Macaca mulatta: one gene and its partners. The protein of the gene in region 3 interacts with the protein of the main gene of each other region in a pairwise test. Links are inferred from orthologs where the notes say so. Each region holds a gene or a part of one and is shown on either strand. Other genes may lie near its edges.

The links.
Region 1: the proteins of C1H1orf94 (region 3) and CDKN2D interact in binary tests that used the Homo sapiens proteins (3 or more experiments, as listed by UniProt). The two-hybrid records come from large-scale screens. The link is inferred for Macaca mulatta from reciprocal best matches to the Homo sapiens genes C1orf94 and CDKN2D.
Region 2: the proteins of C1H1orf94 (region 3) and RBM47 interact in binary tests that used the Homo sapiens proteins (3 or more experiments, as listed by UniProt). The two-hybrid records come from large-scale screens. The link is inferred for Macaca mulatta from reciprocal best matches to the Homo sapiens genes C1orf94 and RBM47.
Region 4: the proteins of C1H1orf94 (region 3) and BOLL interact in binary tests that used the Homo sapiens proteins (3 or more experiments, as listed by UniProt). The two-hybrid records come from large-scale screens. The link is inferred for Macaca mulatta from reciprocal best matches to the Homo sapiens genes C1orf94 and BOLL.
Region 5: the proteins of C1H1orf94 (region 3) and RAD51D interact in binary tests that used the Homo sapiens proteins (3 or more experiments, as listed by UniProt). The two-hybrid records come from large-scale screens. The link is inferred for Macaca mulatta from reciprocal best matches to the Homo sapiens genes C1orf94 and RAD51D.
Region 6: the proteins of C1H1orf94 (region 3) and TBX6 interact in binary tests that used the Homo sapiens proteins (3 or more experiments, as listed by UniProt). The link is inferred for Macaca mulatta from reciprocal best matches to the Homo sapiens genes C1orf94 and TBX6.
Region 7: the proteins of C1H1orf94 (region 3) and MAPK1IP1L interact in binary tests that used the Homo sapiens proteins (3 or more experiments, as listed by UniProt). The two-hybrid records come from large-scale screens. The link is inferred for Macaca mulatta from reciprocal best matches to the Homo sapiens genes C1orf94 and MAPK1IP1L.

Annotation. Positions count from the first base shown.
Region 1 is NC_133424.1:11,288,104-11,292,092, forward strand, and holds CDKN2D (cyclin-dependent kinase 4 inhibitor D), read right to left. Parts: upstream 2,801-3,989; 5' UTR 2,652-2,800; coding exon 2,511-2,651; intron 1,055-2,510; coding exon 695-1,054; 3' UTR 158-694; downstream 1-157. UniProt on the Homo sapiens protein: Interacts strongly with CDK4 and CDK6 and inhibits them.
Region 2 is NC_133410.1:39,671,728-39,675,227, reverse strand, and holds part of RBM47 (RNA-binding protein 47), read left to right. Parts: intron 1-1,757; coding exon 1,758-1,969; intron 1,970-3,500. UniProt on the Homo sapiens protein: Single-stranded RNA-binding protein that functions in a variety of RNA processes, including alternative splicing, RNA stabilization, and RNA editing. Functions as an enzyme-substrate adapter for the cytidine deaminase APOBEC1.
Region 3 is NC_133406.1:206,643,400-206,646,899, forward strand, and holds part of C1H1orf94 (uncharacterized protein C1orf94 homolog), read right to left. Parts: intron 944-3,500; coding exon 255-943; intron 1-254.
Region 4 is NC_133417.1:102,698,872-102,702,371, reverse strand, and holds part of BOLL (protein boule-like), read left to right. Parts: intron 1-1,662; coding exon 1,663-1,806; intron 1,807-3,500. UniProt on the Homo sapiens protein: Probable RNA-binding protein, which may be required during spermatogenesis. May act by binding to the 3'-UTR of mRNAs and regulating their translation.
Region 5 is NC_133421.1:44,622,762-44,624,952, reverse strand, and holds part of RAD51D (DNA repair protein RAD51 homolog 4), read left to right. Parts: intron 1-126; coding exon 127-217; intron 218-346; coding exon 347-417; intron 418-2,191. UniProt on the Homo sapiens protein: Involved in the homologous recombination repair (HRR) pathway of double-stranded DNA breaks arising during DNA replication or induced by DNA-damaging agents. Bind to single-stranded DNA (ssDNA) and has DNA-dependent ATPase activity.
Region 6 is NC_133425.1:28,475,351-28,479,306, forward strand, and holds the end of TBX6 (T-box transcription factor TBX6), read left to right. Parts: intron 1-93; coding exon 94-240; intron 241-317; coding exon 318-388; intron 389-2,398; coding exon 2,399-2,472; intron 2,473-2,527; coding exon of another isoform or gene 2,528-2,563; coding exon 2,564-2,738; intron 2,739-2,812; coding exon 2,813-3,026; 3' UTR 3,027-3,456; downstream 3,457-3,956. UniProt on the Homo sapiens protein: T-box transcription factor that plays an essential role in the determination of the fate of axial stem cells: neural vs mesodermal. Acts in part by down-regulating, a specific enhancer (N1) of SOX2, to inhibit neural development.
Region 7 is NC_133412.1:128,193,152-128,195,991, forward strand, and holds part of MAPK1IP1L (MAPK-interacting and spindle-stabilizing protein-like), read left to right. Parts: intron 1-913; coding exon 914-1,621; intron 1,622-2,840.

The DNA of each region.
Region 1 (3,989 bases), on a different chromosome or scaffold from region 3:
CACCCACCGCATCCACGATCCCCGACCCCCGTCCTCATCCCCATCAACATCCGGGATGTGTAACTCTCCATCCCAGACTCAAAAATCTGAAGCCACCCGCGCTGTGATCATGCACAAGTCTTAATTTAATGGGTAAAAACATTAAATTATTACAACATTTTTTTCCAATAAAGCATAATAAATAGAATCCATTTCTTTTAAAACGCTGTACAAGAGACTGGAAAACAAGCTTCCAACAGAATATGAATAACTCATTCTACCTTCTTACTGATTTGGGACTCTCCCCCCACCCCCTGTGCCCGAAGCAACGTGCACACTTCAGGTCTCTGAGCACAGCCAGCCAAGGTCACCAGGTTCTACGCTCCCTGGAGGTGATTTCACTCTTAAACGCTCTGCCCTTGGGTCTTGTCTGAGGCCCCAACAGCCTGGGGCGCAGAAAAAACTGAACCGTTTAGGTGGCTGTGGCCTGCAGGAGCCCTTCTCTGTCCAACACACCAAAAGGAGTGAGAAAAACAAATGAGAAACGTCCCCCAAATACCCACACACCCCAAAAACCAACACCTATAAGCCACAAACTGGTGCTCCTCCCCTACTGCGGCAGCAGGCAGGAGAAACAAGAAGAGAAAGTGTTTCTTCCCCTCTCTTCTGATACATAACCCCACGGGGTTCTCTTCCTGGATAGAGTGACCCCAGATCACAGCGGGGCCACCATGTGCCCCTGCAGGATGTCCACGAGGTCCTGAGCCCCTCTCTGCAGTGCCAGTTCCAGGGGTGTGAGACCCCTGGCGTCCCTGCGATGGAGATCAGATTCAGCCGCCAGAAAGCTGACCACAGCAGTGTGACCCTCTTGCACCGCCAGATGGATAGGAAGTGCCCCGGTGCCATCAGGCGCGTTGACATCAGCCCCGTGCTCCACTAGGACCTTCAGGGTGTCCAGGAATCCAGTGCGGGCTGCGTCATGGACTGGACTGGTGCCGGAGGTGTCCTGGACATTGGGGCTGGCACCTTGCTTCAGCAACTCCAGGGCGATGGCGGTGCTGCCAAACATCATGACCTGTGTGAGGGACAGAGGATCAGGAGGTCCTCAAGGGAGGGGTTTCCAAAAAAGGGGTTACTGGCCGGGCGCGGTGGCTCACGCCTGTAATCCCAGCACTTTGGGAGGCCGAGGCGGGCGGATCACGAGGTCAGGAGATCGAGACCATCCTGGCTAACACGGTGAAACCCCGTCTCTACTAAAAATGCAAAAAATTAGCCGGGCGAGGCGGCGGGCGCCTGTAGTCCCAGCTACTCGGGAGGCTGAGGCAGGAGAATGGCGTGAACCCGGGAGGCGGAGTTTGCAGTGAGCCGAGATCGCGCCATTGCACTCCAGCCTGGGCGACTAAGCGAGACTCTGTCTCAAAAAAAATAAATAAATTAATTAATTAATTAAAAAAAAAGGGGTTACTGGAGAGAGAAGGGTCATCCAGAAAGAGGCATCTCCCCGGAACAGGAAATGCCAGAGGAGGGATCCTCTAGTGAACGGAGAAGCTGCATAAGCCCCCAGGGGACTGTTTGAGATGCAGAGAAAAAGTTCTCCTGGGAATAGGGACCCCCCCCAAAAGCTGGTCACTCCCTTAAGAATGAGACCCCCCAACCCAGAGAACAGCCCCCATGGAAACTTTCAAGGAACCTAAGACTCTCCCGCAAGGGACCAAAGACGCCCCCAGATATGGGCAATCACCAGGAAATATAAAATCCCCTCCAGGAAATGGGCCCCCAGAGATGGAGAACTACCCCCAAAGAATTGATAGTCCTCATAAGGGAAAAGAGATGTCAAAGGAAAGCGAACCCCACCCCCTTCTCCAGGAATTAGCCTCCTCCTGTATAATGGTGATGTCACCTCAGAGTACCTGAGAGCTCCCTTCAGGAAGCGGGATTCCAAAAGCAATAATAAAAGAAGAGAAAAGAGACTCCTCTCTAAACTCTCCCAGGGAATATAAGGATGTCTTGCGATCTGACACTGTTCCTCCACTGGGGCCCCCACACTATAGCTAGGATCCGCATAATCTTTAGGAATGAAGACCCCACCCCCAAGTAACCAGATATGTCTCAGAGAGCCCCCTACAAAATGAGGAACCCCTGGAGACAGGACCTCTCCTTCCAGAGATCGGATCTCCCCATAGAAGCCCCAAGAAACGTGAGCCGTCCCCATGGAAACGGTATCCAAAGGAGCTGAACCCGCACCCACGGAATAAGAACCTCCCCAGGGAAAGTGAATCTTCCGCACTCAGAGAACCAGGAATCCTCCCAGAGAAGATGCTAAAAAGCTCTCCCCTCCCCCCACAACCTAGCCTCACCCACCACCCACCTTCGAAAGGGGACCGTGGGGGAACAATGAAAGCCTAGAGAAGAAGGACCGGTTTCCAGTGGGTCACCACCAGGGCCAGGAGACCAGAGGAGAGGGGCTCTGGGGTCTCGATCCTCACCCCGCCGAGCCACCCCGCCCCCGACCTGGGCCGGCCCGGCCTCACCTGCAGCGCCGTCTTGCCGAAGCGGTTGAGGGCGTCGGGATGCACCAGCTCGCGGTGCAGAAGGCGGCGCACCTCCTGCACGTCGCCCCGGGCCGCGGCCCCACTCAGCCGGTCGCCGGAGCGGACCTCCTCCAGCAGCATGTCGACACTGACGGCCTGCGAAGACCCCCGCCCCGCCCCAACCCGGCGCTGTCAGCACGGAGCAACCGGCGGGCGCTGGCCCGAGCAGCCCTCCCGGGACGCGGCCGCGGTGCGCCCGGCTGCTCTGCACTCCCGGCCCGGCTCCCCAGCCCAAGACCCCGGCCCTCCCAGCGGGCTCCTCCCCCTGTCAGCCGGAGGCAGGCGAGGGGCTGGGAGCTGGGCCCAACCCTCGGCCGCCGGCGGGGCCCTGCCCGGCGCCCGCCCCTTGGGGGCCGGGTCTCCCCCTAACTCACCCTCCCTCCTCCTTGCCGGGCGGGGTCTGCTCTGAGCCTGCGCCGCCGCCGCCGCCGAGGCAGCAGCCAGGGGGCGGAGCCAACGTGCTCCCGGCCACGCCCCGAACGCCGCGGATTTGTTTTCTTACAAACTCGCTACTGTGTAGCGAATCCGCGTTGCCCGGCGCGCGACCTTACGGCGTTCCTCCCGCAGGGCCTGCATAACCAATGGCTGCGCGTCGCCGGGGAAATTTCGAGCTCGGCGTGAAATGCGTTGTTCCTGATTGGTCAGAGCTCAGCAACCGATGGACCGCCGGCAATGGCGGGGTTTTCGGTTTTCAAATGAACCCGGCAGGCGGGAAAGACGGCCGCTTTAACTGACCCAGGGAGAAAGGTCAGGGGCAGGGTAGCGCGGGCTGCTCTGGGACCTCGGCGCCTCCTGGGGGAAGGGAGGCAGGGCTGGGGCCACCCAATCCGAGGTCCCACTACTAATAGATATTCATTGGCCCTTACTACGCGCTGGGCGCTTTATTTCATTCATTCATTCATTCACTGTGTGCAGGGGGCGTCCTGGGAGCTGGACGCGCACATTCAAGCAACTAAATAATATTAGATAGTGTCAAGCACCGTAATAAAGGGAAACGGGGAGACGGGGTGGATGAGGAAGGGATCACCCTGACTGGCTCAGACTGAGCCAAGAGGAAAGGAGCCTGCAACTGCCACGTGGGAAGGCCTGGGAGGACATAGTCGCAGCCAGACAGGGACTCAGGTCTTCGCTCAAAGATTTACTTAGTACCTCCTAGAGGTTCCCGAGTGGAGAGCACGCCAGGAGGCCCCTGCTGCAGGGACACCTATGGTCTGGGGCCAGAGACGATAGTTAATTTTTATTTATTTATGTATTTATTTTTGAGTCAGGGTCTCACTCCCGTCACCCAGGCCGGAATGCAGTGGTGCGATCACAGCTCACTGCAGCCTCGACTTCCCCGGCTCAAGTGATCCTCCCGCCTCAGCCTCCCGAGTAGCTGGGACTACAGGGACTACTGGCTAATTTGTATTTTTAGTAGAG
Region 2 (3,500 bases), on a different chromosome or scaffold from region 3:
CACTGTGGGCAAAGTAAAACTGATCCTACAGCTCTGTAACTTCATAAAATAGAGCCTGGATATGGGAGTTGTCGCTTCTACTTGTTGGGAAGGGGACTCCTGTTGGCAAGTTAAGGCAGCTTAAGGTTTAACAAGAGAAAAGAACTGTTAAATAATCTTTAGTCATGTAAAGTTGTGTCCTGGAGGCTGAGGTAGAAATTCCTGTGGGCTGATAGCCAGAACAATTCATTTACTTCATACAACCCCTTGTAGCTTAAACTCACAACCCTCTCTGGGCCCCATCCATTGGCCTTGGTGTCTATTTCTGATCATCCAGAAAATGAGAACATTGTATTTTAGGAGAGGCACCAGGGTGGTGGTGAAGTATCTGGGCGCAAGACCAGTGGAAGATATGGTTGGAAAGGCAGGTAAAATATTTGATTCAGGTTTTAGGTGTATTTTATCAAATGGCCATACCATTGTTTAGCTTATAATCATTTGTCTCTTTACCTTTGATTGAGTCTATCCTTATTAGAATAAATGTACCTACAGTTGGAGAAAACCAGAAATAGAAAGATTCTTTGTGTACACATTTCATATTTTTGCTTATCCTTTCAACACACACAAACACACAAATACACCCCCCACCGCCCCCCGACACACACATATCAGGGCTAGTATCTTTTCCTTTTGATCTCTTCTTACTGTACCTTGACATTCAATAACTGCTATCTGTTTGAATCTCTCGTTGAAATCATAATTTTGGACTTTCAGAAATTCTTTGAATTGGGAGGTCCCACTAAAAGCCAATCACTCCACAGGTTCCCTTCTTTGAGTGGACATGAAGAAATTGGGGAATGTGCTATTTTTTTTTTTACCGTGTGTTTTTCCTTGAATCGGTAATGGTAAAATCTGAAATAAAGGGTGGGGAGGATGTACGGAGGTCTGAGTTCTCAGAATGAAACCCTCAACAGCACCTGTTTCTTAAATAGTGGTGAAAGTGAAAAAAAGGCAGTGGGACTGGTAATGAGTGAGGTGAGTAGGAAGGAACAGGCGGGCCCAACTCTCACAGGCGGTAGGCCTCAAGCCTCTGATCTCACTTCTTTGTCTAAGCCTGTTTTCCCATAGTCAGAGGCCCTTTCTTGCTCAGTAGGACATCAAGAATAAGATTCAAACTGATTTTTCTGTAGAAATAGAAAATATTGGTGCAGAAGCCTAACTCTAGGGGTCTCTTCCACGACAGGCAGGGGTAGTTACCTGCCACCGCCTATCCCTTCCTCTTGGGGAGCAGGCATCTGGGTACATGGCTTGTACTGAGAGAACAATAGTGAGCTTAGAGAGGCCCCTGACCTCTAAACGTGGTTTTAAAAAAATATCTTCGGCTGGGTGCGGTGGCTAACACCTGTAATCTCAGCACTTTGGGAGGCCAAGGCAGTTGGATTGCTTGAGCTCAGGAGTTCAAGACCAGCCTGGGCAATGTGGCGAAACCCTGTCTCTACAACAACAACAGAAAATAGCTGGGCAAGGTGGCCTGTGCCTGTAGTTCCAGCTACTCAGGAGGCTGAGGTGGGAGGATCGCTTGAGGCCAAGAGATTGAGGCTGCAGTGAGCCTTGATCGCACCACTGCATTTCAGCCTGGGCCACAGAGTGAGACCCTGTCTCAAAAGAAAGAAAAGTTTTTTTTTAAATAAAAATAAAAAATATCTTAGAGCAAGTGCTGGACCCCCCTCAGCAACTGAAAGTGATTGACCCATTTTTCCTTCTTGCTTCTCTTACAGTAGCCATCCCTGCCATTGGGGCCCAGTATTCCATGTTTCCAGCAGCTCCAGCCCCTAAAATGATTGAAGATGGCAAAATCCACACAGTGGAGCACATGATCAGCCCCATTGCTGTGCAGCCAGACCCAGCCAGTGCTGCTGCCGCCGCAGCTGCCGCAGCCGCAGCCGCAGCCGCCGTCATTCCCACCGTGTCGACGCCACCGCCTTTCCAGGTAGAGTTCTGATTGCAGTCGTTGTTATTTGCGTGTGAAGCCTCTCTTTATCCTGGATTCATTTAGTATTCAGCACTGAGAATTTACTGTGTGCCTGGCTCTCTGTTACAGCTATGCGATTGGGTGACACAAAGCATTTTGAATTTGAATCATGACAGAAAAAAATAATTGTAATTAATTGTACTACCCTAATAATATCATTGTTAAGGGTGGGAATCAATATGTAAAAATGATGTGTAATTTTTCACAGTGTCATAATATTGTGCATATATGTTTTTTAAATAGCACTGAATAATTTTTAGCTCATGATGTTAAAGAGCTGACGCACAAAGTCCAGGGAACGATTTCGCATTTTCACATTTCACACTGAGGCTCCATGAAGATTTCTTTAAAAAATGTTAACCCAGTGGGTGGGTGTATGTGTGTGTGTGTGTGTGCGCGCGCGTGTGTGTGTAAAGAGAGAGAGAGAGAAAGAACATCTGTATAGATATGTAAAATTTTATGCTGGGTAGAGTGGCTCATGCCTGTAATCCCAGCACATAGGGAGGTCAAGATAGGACGATCACTTGAGGCCAGGAGTTCAGGACCAGCTTGGGCAACATGGTGAGACAGTGTCTCTCCAAATATATATATTTTTTAAATTAGCCTGGCATGGTGGCATATGCCTGTAGTCCCAGCTACTGGAGAGGCTGAGGCAGGAGGACCGCTTGACCAGCCTTGAGGTCAAGGCTGTAGTGAGCTGTGATTGCACCGCTGCACTCCAACCTGGGCAACAGAATGAGACCCTGTCTCAAAAAAATTTTTACAAAATATGTCCATAATCCTCTCCTCCAACCATATCTCCCACTGTTCCCCTATCTGTTCCCAAACTCATCTTACCATGTTGGCCTCCTTCCCCACATTTGTTCATACTGTATCCTGGTTTCTTTATTCTCATCTCTTCCATAGAATCTTCCCCATCCACCTCCTAGAGAAATGTTCTCTCCTGTACTCCTCATTACTACATCATTACTTGGCCTGTGGCTGCCAATGTGTTCTATCTTCCAAGGAAAATGAAGCTCCTCTAAACCAAAGACTGTGTCTTGTTTCTTTGCATCTTCACCTCATAGGACATAGGGAGGACATCCATTTAACAGAAGAAAATCTTGTTAAAGCTGTTCTCTGTGAGGCAGTGAATCGCAAATACTAATCACAAGTACTCAGGCCCAAGATCCCTTACCCAGCTGAAAAAGAATTATCCAGGTCACTTCTTTTCATTTTTGATTTTTGATTTTTTTGAGACAGAGTCTCACTCTGTCACCCAGGCTGGAGTGCATGGCTCACTGCAACCTCAACCTCCCTGGTTAAAGCAATCCTCCCACCTCAGCCTCCCAAGAAGTTGGGACCACAGACGCACACCACCATGCCCGGCTAACTTTTTTATATGTAGGGACAAAGTCTTGCTATGTTGCCCAAACTGGTATTGAACTCCTGGGCTCAAGCAGTCCTCCCACCTCAACCTCCCAAAGTGTGGGATTACAGGCCTACATTT
Region 3 (3,500 bases):
CTCTTCTCAAAGTATGTTGAGATCAGGGACTCTGGGTTTGCTTACAAAAGCTGTGCCCTGCACAGGGTCACCCAGCAAAAGAAGCCTGTGGAGGTTGGAAACAGCCTTTCCCTCGGGGCTGTGCCCACCAGAGAGGCTGCTTTGTCCTGCTTTTGCACAAAGATGCTTTATGTACATGCTGCAGCCCTGATTGGCTTCCTGGGAAGGACCTCCTCCTTGCAGGCCCACTCTACCCCAGTTCCAGCTCCACTTACCCATCAAGTGGTGCCTCTCCACAGCAGGGTCAGCCTCGGGCTTGGAACAGATCTTGGCAAACACTGGGAGCTGCCTCTTCTGAGCAGGGAGCTCAGGGAGCTTGTCAGGGGGTGCAGGAGGAGGTGGGGGAGGCAGCAGCAGAAATGGGCTCAGCCCTGTGGGCTCCTTGGCTTCAGGGCCTCCGAACAGGTTGTCCTGTAGGAAGTCCTTGGTGACTCTTGTCTCGTTCAGCACCCTCTTGTTGTCGGGGGCCTTGGATGTCTCAATGGACTTCAGTGGGAACTGGGACAGAAGCTTGCTGACCTCCAAGTTGGAGTCACCCAGGATGTGGCCCCTGTCCTCTGTCCCCTTGCTGCTCTTGACCTTGGCGGCACGCAGAATGTCTGTGACAGTAGACGTGGCAGAATCACAGTCCTGCCTGCTGCTGATAATGGGCATGGCCACCTTCTGCTTCAGAAGCTTGTCTCCGACAATCATGGAGGCTCTGGGGCGCTCATTACTGCCTGCCGCTAGAGGAGGGGTAAGAATGCAGGAAGCCAGCTCTCTGGTCCCCTCAGGAGAGCTGCCTGGTGCCTCCAGCTCCCCAGAACTCTCTTCGACCAAGATTGAGTGCTCTTTAGTGAGGCTCAGGAACTCCTGTTCCACCAACAAGGAGATCTCATCTTTGCCACTGCTGAGCTCCAGAGCTCTGGAAATGGGTCAGAGAGACAGACGGTGTTAGTGCCAGCTCACCAAGGCATGGCTCTGCAGAAGGACATAGGCCCCAGAAAACGGAGATGGATGCATAACATGACAAAAACACACTTCCAGGTAAGAGAACCCAGCGCACACAGTGGACCCCTAGAGGGTCCTATACCACAGTGGTGGGATGCAGTACTGAGAACATGGTTTTGAAAAATGGGGAAACCTGGATCCTCTCCCAACAACCTTGCTGAGTGAGCTGGGGCAAGTCACAGCCTCACTGAGCCTTAATTCTAGTCCATTCCTCCTTGTTCTTCATGCTCAGGACCTGAAGCAATGAAAGACCAGAGAAGGGGTTCACTGGCAAATTTTACCCAGCAGCCAAGGTGTCAGGAGCAAGCCAACAGCTCTAAGTGCAGAGTCTAGGGTGCTGGGGCTGAGCCCTGGGAAGCCCACAGGAGCGTAGCGCAGCCCCCATCACCTCACTGCAGAATGGTGGAGTGGATAGCCTGAGCTTACACCCTGACCCAGTCACTTCCCATCGGTATGACCCTGGGGAGATTGTTCAGCATCTTGGTATTCTGTCTCCTCCTCTCATTACTAGGAGTATCATAGAGGTGCAAAGCACTTTGAATGGTGTCTGGCATAGAGTAAGGGCGATTCAAAGGTCAGCTGTCATGTTTACACCACTGTCAACCTTGGTTGGTCCCTGCTCCTGGATCTCATACAGTAGTGTCTTGGATACTCATGTTCACTCTGGCATGGCCTCTGACCCAATCACAGCCTGTGGACTGGGTCTCACTTCATGGGCAGCACCAGCAGTTGGGAGATCCCTGCACTGATTCACTGGGGTCTTCCTGAAACTAAATATTGGCCTCAACCTGCACCTTGGACCCTGGGTCCTCCACTACACCCTTGCTGGTCAGCACCTGTCTGATAGCACCTGATGGTCTCCTGGATCCTAGGCTCCTCATTGCCACTTCTCTCCAGGTGTAGAAAGGATTGCAATCCTACTGGCCTGGCTGGTGGTCCCTGATAGCACCTGATGGTCTCCTGGATCCTAGGCTCCTCATTGCCACTTCTCTCCAGGTGTAGAAAGGATTGCAATCCTACTGGCCTGGCTGAAGGCCCCGCACAGGCACCTTCCTTCCTAGTGCTCCCAGGAGGTCAAGAGCCACCAACCTAGAACCATCTGCTGTCCTCACTCAAGGGGCTCCTATGAGAGGTGGATGATGTGGCCCACACCAAGTATTCTGGAAACGGCTCGGCCTTCTATCATGGGAGCGCTGAAGGAGAAGATGATGAAGAAGACCCAAGAGAAAAAATCGAGGAGCCCCATAGGGGAGCTCAGCTGCTGTGGCTTAGGCTTTGCAGTCTGGAGGCCCAGCACACGATCCAGCTCTGGCCAGCCTCTCAGAGGGCATGATGAGTCTCCAAAACGGTGACCATGGAATGCTTCCAGCAGGGTCCATGCCTTCCTGGTAATGCTCATTGTGTACAAGCACACACACACACATACACACAAACAGAAACAGGCAGGCACACAATTCACATGTCACCAAACACAGACCCAGGGGAGTAGTCACTGCATTTAACAGTCAATCAGAGTGGACACAGTCTACAGTCTTAGAGGCTTCCTGCTGTGCCAGACAGGAAACCTTTAGTCGCTGGGTCCTGATGAGTCCTGAGGCAAAGACTTGGCGGTTCACAGTGCTTGGGGAGCTTGGGGAAGAGCTATGTACTAAAGACATGGGAATGTACCAATAGTCCAGCAGCCAAGATAGTCGTACTTCTTGAACATTAGCCTCTCTACCCCCACATGGAACCTTACCAGGCTTGGAGGCAGAGAGTAATGCCTGCAAAAAGTAGACTCCAGACAAACAGACCTGGGTTTGAATCCAGGCACCACTGCTCTTTTCATGTCAGACCCTGGAACCTCAGTGTCTTCCCCTGTAAAACGGGTGTGGCACCTAACATCACCTGCCTCATGGGATGGTTGGGGGCATTCAGTGAGGTCACTCGTATGTGAGCTCAGCACAGTGCTGTGCACAGGAAACATTCAGTCAGTGTCGGCTGTGAGCATTAGCTAGTGTGAGCTGGTCCTGGCCAGCTCCTGGAGGGCCACTGGAGCTGTGTGTGCAGCAATGTCACTCTCTATTATTTTCTCTTTCCCTCCACTCTCTCTTCTGTCCCCTTTCCCTGACTTGTCACCTATTCCCTTCCTCTGCCTCCTTCCCATGTCTAGACTTAGGCCTATAAATAGGCCTCACTTCCCCGGCTGTGTCCCCCTGAGAACAATCAGAAAAAAGGGGCTGCCAATCCGAGGTCTCAAGTTTTAGATCCCCCTCCTCTTCCTCCTCTTCACCATCCGCCTCAAAAGGAACAGGTGTCTCAAGTCACAGAAGTCAGACATTTGAAGGACTAGTTTTTGACTCCCCTCTCCAAATACTTTGCAAAGCAAGCCACACATCAATAGCTTCACTGAATTAGAAAGACACAGTACAATTATGTTAATTTTTTAAAATTGTGATAATGGTATTGTGGTTATACCTAACAACAACAAA
Region 4 (3,500 bases), on a different chromosome or scaffold from region 3:
AGTATGTACTTCCTTAAGGCTGGATGGAGAAGAGAGCCCATAAGGTCCAGCCTATAGCCCAATTGCCACTCCTGCCCTAGTCATTTCTCTGTACATCTTGCAAAGATTAATTGAGGGATTGTGATTGTATTGACCAGAGAAGAAAGAACACAAATTTGAAAAAGAACAACTCTATTACCTGAACTGGAAATTCATTTTCATGTGTTTGTTTCTCAGAGAATTTGAATTATGAACTTCAAGATTTGTTATTTTCTTTTTCTTTCTTTTTGAGACGGGGTCTCGCTTTGTTGCCCAGGCTGGGGTTGAACTCCTGACCTCAAGCAATCCTCCTGCCTCAGCCTCCCAAGCAACTGGGATTACAGGCACAAGCCACAACACCCAGTTTACTTCAAGTTTTTTGAAGCACACATTTAGGATATTAGACTGTCTCAGAAGTGTGTTTAGTGTTTCCAGATGGAAAATAATTCACCAGTTCTTGAATTGGTTTCTCTTCTACATGATTCTCAAGTCCTGGTTTTCTTTCAGTTATACCTTAAAAGTCTATTATTTTACCATTCTGCAAAGGCTTATACATTTATATATGTTTATTAAAATTTAAATTAGATCCTCTAACTTATCGTTGTGAACATATGGCTATGTACTGAGCTAATTCTTTGGAATAAACATTTATGAGCTATAAGTATATAATTTTTAACAAAATCAGTCCAATCTTCAAAATGACAAGTGCATTTAAAATTTTGACCTTCAGGCTGAAAATGGTGAATGTGAATGTTACAGTTTATTAACTTATCAATGACCATTAGTTAAAGACCACCAGGAACACAAGCGTCATTTAGTGAAGTTGGGTCTGTTAATCGTTCAAACAAAGGAAAACAGAAACCATGGGGCCTCTCAATCAGAAGGTGTTAGAACTCATAGGATATAGGCTTGTGTTGAGCAATTTTTAGAGAGGGTTTAAGGAAGCAGGGCTTTACTCTGGAATGTATATCGTCAGGAAATGGTAGTAATTCTATGATTGGATGTGTTAACTTTTATCTAAAAGGAAAGAAAAATGGATCGAGGCCAAAACTATAACTAATAAAGAAGGGGCAGTCACTCATATCAGCCAGAATGGAGGGATGTTTGGTTATTATTGGATTTGGGCAATGCGTTTTTTTTAGTCAGCCTTCAAACATGATTGTGGAGTGGTCTTGTTTTTAATCTTAATCCATCAGAGTCACAGGGTGACTTTGTCTGATGTTGGTATTCTGTTAATGAGAGAACACCACAGCCTAGCCGTGAGTGCCAGGCCGACTCCTAACAACACCAGGGCCCAGCTGATTGTGTCAGGCTGGGACTGTTTTTCTCTTTCTCAAACATCTTCATGAGTTTAATATTCCCCTTAACAATTAAGTAATCGGTTTGATAATAATATAAGCATTTTAAGTAATGTACTTAATATTTAAAATCTCTATAATGGAGTAGATTCTGTGTTTCCTAGTTCTGTTGCTCTAAAAAGCTCTTAGCTCTAATTATAATTTTTATAATATTAAAAGTAAAGCCTAGAATACTATATTTTACCTAAATGACTCATCTTTTTTAAAGATATACATTTTCAGTCTGCATCAAAAGCAGACTGCATTATACCCAGTGCAAAAAGTGTAAAAGAATTTTATTTTACAGCAAACATCAAACCAGATGCAAACAGATTCATTATCTCCATCCCCTAATCCTGTGTCGCCTGTGCCTTTGAATAACCCAACAAGTGCCCCAAGATATGGAACAGTGATCCCTAATCGCATCTTTGTAGGAGGAATTGACTTTAAGGTACCTATTTATGCATGCAGTAAAGTGTATTTTTTCATTAGAAGTCTTTATTTCTCAGAAATTGTTTATTTGTGCAGCTATAAAATCATAACATATTTGCATAATGATTAATAGATTTCAAATTTCCTTCTTATAAAGAATCTTTCGAACCAACATGTAGGTTACATAAAGTATAAAAACTGTTTGTTCAATGTCAAATACAAGGAAATTGAGCCTCATTGACTTGCTGTAGGCTCCTAGCCAGCCACATAGTGACAGAGTGAGACTAGAAGCCTCGTTTTCTGTCTCATAGCTCCACACTCTTCCATACCAGAACTAATTATACTTTCTTGCCTATACTCCAATAGCCAAAATAATGAATGATTATAATTTTCAAAAGAGACTCAATTCTTTAAAAACTTAGTTTTATGAAATACTATTTCTTTATCCCAACTCTTATCTCAGATTCCTGAGCAACCTCCTAGGCGTCTATTCTTTGCAAAGCACTTTCTATGTTAGAGTTTAGGATTTGATTACCAGAAAACTCCTGTGTCCTTGTCAAAATAAAGCATCTTAAAAATAATATATTTAAGCAGAAAAAAATAACTACTCAGTACTAGACTTAGTACCTGGGTGCCTAAATAATCTGTACAACAAACCCCCATGACGATTTATCTTTATAACAAATCTGCACGTGTACCCCGAACCTAAAATAAAAGTTTTTTAAAAAGTAATATATTTACATCATGTAATCAGCTATTCCACTCTTCCAAGGAAGCATAGTTCATGAGATGATGTGCAGTGCCCCCCACCCCGCATGAGTAAACACCTACAAGAAAGGCATGCATAGATACTGTAAGTGGAATACTCTTACTTTCAAATGGATATATGGAAGGATTTCCAAGACTCTATTTTACATATTAGAAATTATAGGGAGAGTTATTTTGGACAAAAAAAAACTTTCCTTATACCATTAGGTGTGATATTTGACATTTATAACTCACTATTTCCATATAATCAATCTGTTACAATTTGGGTGGAATTTCTTTTTTCCTGCACAAGAGAAATGTTACACTTAGTGTATTTGCCAAAACAATGAGTCTTAAACAAGTATATGATTGTTTCACTAAAAATAAAGTAAGAAAAATTATTTCTTATAAAATATTTATTTTTAAAAAGGTTTTCTGTATCTGTGGAAAATACTGATGGCTGGCAAAAATGTTCAATTTGGGAATTCATTTATATTACAATAGCTTAGCATGTTTTTAAAAATAAGTTATCAATAAATATAAATATGTGTATGGCCAAGTTATTTTAGGTTACTGAAGCCCATTAGCTGCAGCATGAACTTTGGAAACGGTTGTTATAAGGCAGCCATAGCTTTACGGTAACTGCTAGGGCTCCCTCCTGTATGCTTATACCTTTTTCAAAACCACAGATAAAGTCCAGCAAGGAAATAATTTACTGTAATAGCAAGTAGTCACAGACTTTTTAACCTTTCATTTTTAGAAGCGAACAGACTATCTCTCTTAATGCTTACTTTTCTTGACTGTCCCTTTGTCACTGAAGAAGTGGAGCTACAAAATTCAGCTATGATTATTCTACCAGAGAATAGTTGGAATTAATTTGTATTCAAATATCTAGTAACAATTCTTATTCTAGCATTGATTTCATTTCCTGTTAACTGAAATAAAAGGCATTCAGTTTTTCTTAGA
Region 5 (2,191 bases), on a different chromosome or scaffold from region 3:
TGCAGCCTGCTGTATTTGGGATGAGGGGGGCTATTTCTTACTAGTTTTAGATAGAAAAGCAAGCTTGTCCTGTAATGTGTCCTAGAGGCCAACAGGTTCATGAGTGCTTCCCCCACATTCCTTTAGGTGACTGGTTCTTCAGGGACTATGAAGGTGGTGGTGGTGGACTCGGTCACTGCGGTGGTCTCCCCACTTCTGGGAGGTCAGCAGAGGGAAGGTGAGTGATGTGGCAGAGCCTGGGGCCAGTGGAACGTGACCTCGCCTCCCAGCTCTGGAGTCTGGTCTCTGGCCAGTCCCGTCCCTGGTTTTCCACTGCCCTGCCTCTCTGCTTCTCCTCGTCCTGCAGGCTTGGCCTTGATGATGCAGCTGGCCCGAGAGCTGAAGACCCTGGCCCGGGACCTTGGCATGGCAGTGGTGGTGAGGAAGCAGACTTGGCCAATGAACTTGATTTCTAGTTATTGCTAGCTCTTTATTTCCCTTAAATGTCAGCTTCTGAACCCCAAAGTGGCCCTTTAGGAAAGGGACATATTCCAGCTTCCCTGGGTCAGCTACAGCTTTGCACCATAAATAGCTACGGGAATCAGGAATTGTCTTGTTGTTTTTTTGTTGTTTTGTTTTGTTTTGTTTTCCTACATTTTTTCTTTTTAGAAAGGTTTATTGAGGTATAATTTACATAGAGTACCTTTCTCCTTGTCTGAAGTTTGACTAATGGATATAGTTGTATCCAGTCTTGTGACCCCACCAAAAGGTCCCCCAGGCCCAGGCAACCACTGATCTGTTTTCCATCCCAATAGTTTGGCCTTTTCCAGAACTTCATATAAATGGATCTTTTTGCTATTGAAGTAACTTTTTCTGCTTATGAGGTAGTTTTTTTAAAGTCTGCATGCTTCTCATAGAAAAGATAAAAAATAAATATAAGATTCAAATTTGTCATCAATCTCCATATCCACAGAAACCATATTGATATTTTTACATATCTCCATACAATACTTTTTCTACATATTTACTTATACTTTTAGTCAACTTTCTTTTTTTTTTTTTTTTTTTTGAGATAGGGTTTTATTCTGTTGCCCAAGCTGGAGTGCGGGGGCACAATCACAGCTCGCTGCAGCTCGACCTCCCGGGCTCAAGCAATCCACCCGCCTCAGCCTCCCAAAGTGCTGGTATTACACGTGTGAGCCCACTCTTAACCAGCTTTCTAACTAAACTAACCTCATGAGAAAAAAAAAAAATGGGCCAGGTGCAGTGGTTTATGCCTGTAATCCCAGCACTTTAAGAAGCCAAGGCTGGTGGATCACTTGAGCCCAGGAGTTCGAGACTAGCCTGGGCAACATGGAAAAACCCCACCTCTACAAAAAATAGAAAAACTAGGTGGCCTCGGTGGCAGGAAAATTGCTTGAGCCTGGGAGGTCGAGGCTGCAGTGAGCTGTGATAATGCCACTGCACTCCAGCCTGGGCAACAGAGCAAAACCTCATCTCAAAAACAAACCAAAACAACAACACAAAAAATACCATCTGAGTCCATTTCCTATGTTTTAAAATATATTTTTTACAAATGTAATTTTTAGCAGCTATATATTTTTTTCCAACTTCTCTTATTGTGGTAAAATACATATAACATAAAATTTACTACCTTAACTATTTTAAGGTATACAGTTCGGTGGTGTTAAATACATTCATGACGTTATACAACCATCGCTACCATCCATCTCTATAACTCTTCACCTTATAAAACTGAAACTCTGTACCCATTAAAAATAACTCATTTCTCCCTTTCCCAGCCCCTGACAACCACCAGTCTACTTTCTGTATCTATGCTTTTTGACTACTCTAGGAACCTCATATACATGGAATCATATGGTATTTACTTTTTGTGACTGGCGTATTTCACTTAGCATAATATCCTGAAGGTTCATCCACTTGGTAGCATGTGTCAGAATTTCCTTCCTTTTAAAGACTGAGTGGCCGGGCGTGGTGGCCCACGCTTGTAATCCTAGCACTTTGGGAGGCTGAGGCTGGTGGACTGCATGAGCTCAAGAGTTTGAGACCAGCCTGGACAACATGGCGACATGTGCCCCATTGCCTTCTGGTTTGGGTCGAACCTGAGGCATCGAGATTTAGTGGAAAGAGCAGGGCACAAGTCAGGAGGCCCAGGTTCTAGTTCCAGACCTGCCATTAGGCTTTGTAACTT
Region 6 (3,956 bases), on a different chromosome or scaffold from region 3:
GGCTGGGACTCTAGGATAGGGTTGGGGGGTGCTAGAAGGGAGGCCAAGGCTGGGGCACAGGGCAGGGAATCACTCCCATTTCCTCCCTCCCAGCTGATCCTGCACTCCATGCACAAGTACCAACCCCGCATACACCTAGTTCGGGCAGCTCAGCTCTGCAGCCAGCACTGGGGGGGCATGGCTTCCTTTCGCTTTCCGGAGACCACATTCATCTCCGTGACGGCCTACCAGAACCCACGGGTGAGTGCCCCTGCTTGAGGGGGTGGTGGCGCCCTGCCCAGTCCACAGTTGCTTTGACCCTGGATGTGTGTCCCCAGATCACACAACTGAAGATTGCAGCCAATCCCTTTGCCAAAGGCTTCCGGGAGAACGGCAGAAACTGTAAGAGGTGGGAGTTGTTCATTCATTCGTTCATGCATTCAACAAATGTTTATTAATCACTCACTGTGTGCCAGGCACCGTGCTGGACATCAGGAATACAGTGGTAAGTAAAAACATTCATTCACTGACTCAGCAAATACTTATATAGTACCTGCTATGTGCCAGGGACAGTTCCAGGCACTGGAGATAAATCAAACAAAGTAAACCAAAGCCCCAGCCCTGATGGAACTGATTTCTAGTGGGGACAGCAGACAAGCAGACAAGAGAAATAAATAAAATGCCATCTGTTAGGAAGCCATTCTAAAGAGAAGAGAGACCAGGTGCGGTGGCTTGCTTCTGTAATCCCAGCACTCTGGGAGGCTGAGGCGGGCAGATCACCTGAGGTCAGAAGTTTGAGACCAGCCTGCCAACACAGTGAAACCCTGTTTCTACTAAAAATACAAAAATTAGCCAAGCATGGTGGCACGCGCCTGTAATCCCAACTACTCGGGAGGCTGAGGCAGGAGAATCTCCTGAACCCAGGAGGTGGAGGTTGCAGTGAGTCGAGATCGTGCCATTGCATTCCAGCCTAGGCAACAAGAGTAAAACTTCGTATCAAAAAAGAAAGAAAGAAAGAAAACTCTGTCACAAAAAAAAAAAAAAGGAAAAAAGGAGAAGAGAAATAAACAGGAAAGGATAGGAAGGACTGGGGTGAGCTATTAGATAAGAGGCCTGAAAAGGCCTCGGCAGGAAGAAGACACTTGAGAAAGAGCTGAAGGAAGTATGGGAGGGAGCCGGGTGGGCATCTGGCAAAGCACACTAGGGAGTGGGAACAGCACGTGCAAAGGCCCTGAGGTGGGGCTGTGCCTGTGGCGTGGCTGCAGTGGAGTGAGTAGGAGTCAGGCAGGGGAGGGGAAGCCAGGTTATCTTGGACAGTAAAGGTTCCATAAGGCCGTGGGAACTGTTCCAAGTGTAGCCCCTCGGAGCTGGCCCCTGCCCTCAAGGAGCTTCCAGTTTGTCAGAAGAGACAGACATGAACCAAGGAGTCACTCCATCAAATGCAAAAGCATTTGCATTTAACTGTCTCATAACTGTGACAGATGTTATGAGGGAGGGGTGTGTGCTCTCGGAGATCAGGGAGGACTTCCTTGAGGAACTTGCGCTAGCACTAAGGCAAGGATAGGTTTGGTGGCTCATGCCTGTAGTCACAGCACTTTAGGAGGCTGAGATGGAAAGATCACTTGAGCCCAGGAGTCGGAGGATGCAGTGAGCTGTGACCATGTCACTGCACTCCAGACTGCACTCCAGCCTGGGCAACATAGCAAGACTGCATCTCAAATTTTAAAAATGAAAAGAAAAAGGGGCCGGGCGAGGTGGCTCAAGCCTGTAATCCCAGCACTTTGGGAGGCCGAGACGGGCGGATCACGAGGTCAGGAGATCGAGACCATCCTGGCTAACACAGTGAAACCCCGTCTCTACTAAAAATACAAAAACTTAGCCGGGCGAGGTGGCAGGCGCCTGTAGTCCCAGCTACTCGGGAGGCTGAGGCAGGAGAATGGCGTGAACCCGGGAGGCGGAGCTTGCAGTGAGCTGAGATCCAGCCACTGCACTCCAGCCTGGGTGACAGAGCGAGACTCCGTCTCAAAAAAAAAAAAAAAAAAGAAAAGAAAAAGGATGGGTTCAGCAGGTGAAGAGGGGACAGAAGAGGATTCCAGAGAGAGGCTCAGAGTGGAGATGGGGCAGAAGGATGAGCTAGGTGAGACCGTGCCCTGGCCTTGCCTCTGGGAAGGAGTTTCCATTGATACTAAACACAATAGTAAAGCATGGACAAGCTTGAGCAGGGACAAAATTCCAGCTCTGCCACTTTCTAGTTATTTAATTTTCTGGCCTTCAGTTTCATCTGTAAAATGGGTATAATGATGGCCCCTACCCGACAGGGTCCCTGGGAGGGTGAAATGCCTGGCACTGGGTAAGTACTGTTATTACCATCACCATGGCCATCACCGTCATCATCATCACCACCACCACTGTTTCCCAGGGAGCGAGATGCCCGTGTGAAGAGGAAACTGCGGGGCCCAGAGCCAGCAGCCACAGAGGCCTATGGGAGCGGAGGTGAGTATAGTCCCAATGGCGATGGGGCCAGGCCTGAGACACGGATCCTCCCTAGCCCAACCTCTCCCTTCCCTCTCCCCGGACGCACCAGGTGGTCCCTGCGACTCCACTCTGGGTGGAGACATTCATGAATCAGACCCAGAACAGGCCTCAGCCCCCGGGGAAGTCACCACTGCCCTGGCACCTCCGTGTGGTGGCCCCAGTGCCGAGGCTTACCTCATGCATCCTGCGGCTTTCCACGGGGCCCCCAGTCACCTTCCCACCAGGTGAGTGGGACAGGGGACCAGGCGGGGCTGCGGGACCCTCGGCACTGCTCTGACATCCTTCTCTCCCATGTCAGGAGCCCCAGCTTCCCGGAGGCTCCAGACTCTGGGCGCTCAGGCCCCTACTCGGCTGCATTTCTGGAGCTGCCACCCGGGCCAGGGGGCTCCGGGTACCCAGCGGCTCCACCCGCGGCACCCTTTGCCCCGCACTTTCTCCAAGGGGGCCCCTTCCCTTTACCATACCCCGGGCCTGGGGGCTATCTGGATGTGGGCTCCAAACCCATGTACTGAGCCATTGCTGGGCCCCTCTGCCTCCATCACAAACCTCCTGCTCCCTTCCCCCAGCCCTGGAGCCCCCTCACCTCCACCAGCCCCATCCCCCACACCAAATGGCTGCCTTGGGCCTGCCCACCCCCCCCCACAACTTCACACCTTGATTTCACTCCCACCCCGCTCTGGCTTCAAAGCCCAACCAAGGCTGCTGGGAGTCCAGCTGGGGCCGGCTTCCCCTTCCCGGCTCTCACCTCCGTGTGAATGGAAGGGGCTCTGCCTGGCCAAATGGGGCTACAGACCAGTATCCCCACCTACCGGGTCCCCCTGTGAGCCCTTGGGGGGGCTCAATCCCCACCCCCACACCACTAGTGCAGGCCACACCAGTCTGTTGTTCTGGGACCAGAGTATTTTTGTTAATAAAACTCAAAAGCCATCCATGCTCAGGAAACACTGAAGCTCCTGTGTTTGGCCCTGGGCGGGGCTGGGTGAGCAAAGGCTTTGCTGGGAGACCCAGACCCAGATCTAAACCTGTGTTTCCAGCTGCCTGACCTAGCACGAAATCTACCAGCTCTCTAGGCCCATCTCTTCAGGAAAGTGGAGAAATCAGAATCTCGTGATGCTGTTAATAAGGCTGCATGAGAACAGAGCCCTCTCCCTAGCACTGGGGAAGCCAGCGGGCAGCGGCCCCTGGAGGCCCTGGGCAAGCTGACTGGCCTGAGCCTGGCCATCCTGGCAGGTCGGGGCCCTGAAGCAGTCAAGGCCCTGAGGTCCACCCCAGGTCCCAGGCCAGCAACCCTATGCATTCCCAACCAAGTCTGGCAAAAACCCAAAGACCATTTTTCTTCTTTTATTAGAATTTTTTTTTTCTTTTTTTTTCTCAAAATTTTTATCTAAAAACAAACAGAAAAAAGAAGGAAAAAAAGAAAAAAAAATTATTGGAAACTTCAT
Region 7 (2,840 bases), on a different chromosome or scaffold from region 3:
AGTTTATCTGTGATAAGTTTTTCATCTCTTAAGAAAAACAACGTGGTCCTAACTGGCCTTCGTAAATCTTTTCACTTAAAAGAGATGCTTTAACCAGGCGCGATGGTGTGCACCTGTAGTCCTAGCTCCTTGGGAGGATCCCTTGACCCCACGATTTCCAGGCTGCAGTGAGCCATGATCGTGCCATTGCACTACTGCCTGGGCGATAGAGTGAGACTCTGTTTATAAATAAATAAAAGAGATGCTTTTTGTGATTCTTGGCTTTGGGGGTAGGAGAGGGATTTTGATAGGTGATTTGCCTTGGTGATTTGCCAAACATGGAGATAATAGCATGTTTGGAAATGTTTCCTATATTTCTTTATGAATCCTTAAATGAAAATTTAAGATGTTACTTCTATTCTCTTTTACCCTGATAGTATTAGTAGCCAACATTTATTGGAAATTATTATATACCAGGCACTGTGTTAAGTGTACTACATGAACTATCATATTTAAGCCTCAAATTAACCCTAAAATAGTTTTTGAAACTGAAGAAGCTCTATCTCAGAGTATGTAGCTCCTTTGAGGTTAAGCCAGGATTCAAATCCATACCTTGACTGTTAGTTCTATCTTCTTAATTACTGTACTTTGTTATATTAATACAGCAGAGAAATGAAGCACAATATGATTAGTTGTATTTAGAAAACGAGCTTCTCTGAAGAACTTGCACTGTAAAGTTGATATTCAAAGTTAACACCTCAAGTTTTATGTTAAATCGAGTACGTTTTAAATGACTAGCTTAGCTTTTGAAGATGTTCTTGAGGTTTATAATCCCTGGCCCTGTAGGTTACTGTTCTTTGTGGGTTTATAATGGTGTTTGGTATAACTTTTCTCTTGATAAGATAGATAAGATGTTATCTGTTTTGTGTTCCAGTTGGCAGATGCACTACCTGAACACTCCCCTGCCAAAACCTCTGCTGTGAGCAATACAAAACCTGGCCAACCTCCTCAAGGCTGGCCAGGCTCCAGCCCTTGGAATAATCCGAGTGCTCCACCTTCGGTGCCATCTGGACTCCCACCAAGTGCAACGCCCTCCACTGTGCCTTTTGGACCAGCACCAACAGGAATGTATCCCTCCGTGCCTCCCACCGGACCACCTCCAGGACCCCCAGCACCCTTTCCTCCTTCTGGACCATCATGCCCCCCACCCGGTGGTCCTTACCCAGCCCCAACAGTGCCAGGCCCTGGCCCCACAGGGCCATATCCTACACCAAATATGCCCTTTCCAGAGCTACCCAGACCATATGGTGCACCCACAGATCCAGCTGCAGCTGGTCCTTTAGGTCCATGGGGATCCATGTCTTCTGGACCTTGGGCACCAGGAATGGGAGGGCAGTATCCTACCCCTAATATGCCATATCCATCTCCAGGGCCATATCCCGCTCCTCCTCCTCCCCAAGCCCCTGGGGCAGCACCACCTGTTCCATGGGGCACCGTTCCACCAGGAGCCTGGGGACCACCAGCACCATATCCTGCCCCTACAGGATCGTATCCCACACCAGGACTCTATCCTACTCCCAGTAATCCTTTCCAAGTGCCTTCAGGACCTTCTGGTGCTCCACCGATGCCTGGTGGCCCCCATGTGAGTGTTCAATTTGTTATTTAAAGTGTACTAATTGTACATAGCACAACTGAAAGATTGTTTCTCCCCAGTTTTGGATGGAAGATTAAGAAGGCTTTTAAGTTTTTAAAAGAGGGTGTGTGTATATTAAATGAGTAAATTTCAAACCTTCAGGTAAAGCATTTAAAAGGATGAAAGCAGTATTTTAAGTATCCCTTGTGCTAAAAAGAAAAATTTTCCAAAGATCCCCAAAGACTTTGTAATGTAGTAAGCAGTGTCCCTCAATAGCATCCTTTAGTTAAACTCTGAGATTCACTGGGCTTTTTGTTTTATTATTATTATTTCTCAGTATCGTTTCATAGCATCACACCAAAGTATAGTTCAGTAAAAGCAGTCTCTACCTGTCTAGCTTGATAGAGGTAGATTTTTAGAGAATCCAAGCCAGTGAGTAGGTAATGTTGCCCATCTTTCAAGCAATTCTCGAGCTCGGGATTGTACCCCTATTCTTTATTGTCAGTTACATGTAATGCTTTATGCTTTACTGTCAGACAAGCCAGAGTGGGGTTAACATCTTAGTTGAGGAGCCTGCCTTGGTCATATAACCGAATGGAAAAGTACCCCATTTCCCCTGTGAGGTAAGCCAAGCGAGTATCCAAACGCAGAAGATTTTCCTTAGGAAAAAAAAGTCTGTTAACTGGTTTGGTTTTTTTGTTTGTTTTTTTTTTTTTTTTGAGACAGTCTTGCTCTGTCATCCAGGCAGCAGTGCAGTGGTGCGGTCTCTTGGTTCACTGCAATATCTACCTCCCAGGTTCAAGCAGTTCTCTTGAGTAGCTGGGATTACAGGCGTGCGCCACCACACTGGCTCATTTTTTAATTTTTAGTAGAGATGGAGTTTCACCATGTTGGCCAGGCTGGTCTTGAACTCCTGACCTCAAGTGATCCGCCCGCTTCAGCCTCCCAAAGTGCTGGGATTACTGAGCCCACCGTGCACGACCAGAAAAAAAAAATCTGTTAACTCTTAATACACAAATAACTAGTCAGATCTCTGATTAGATTAGTCAAACATCCACTCCAGCTATAAAGGAAAAGAAATCTTTAAAGTACCCCCAAAACTTCCTCCTTGCATTAGTGTAATTTCTTGCTATATATATTATCTAAAAATATTTGTTTTGCAAAGTGTACGCCAGAGTAAGTGATGTGACTTGCTGTTTGGATTTATTAAGCAATAAATTTACTTTAA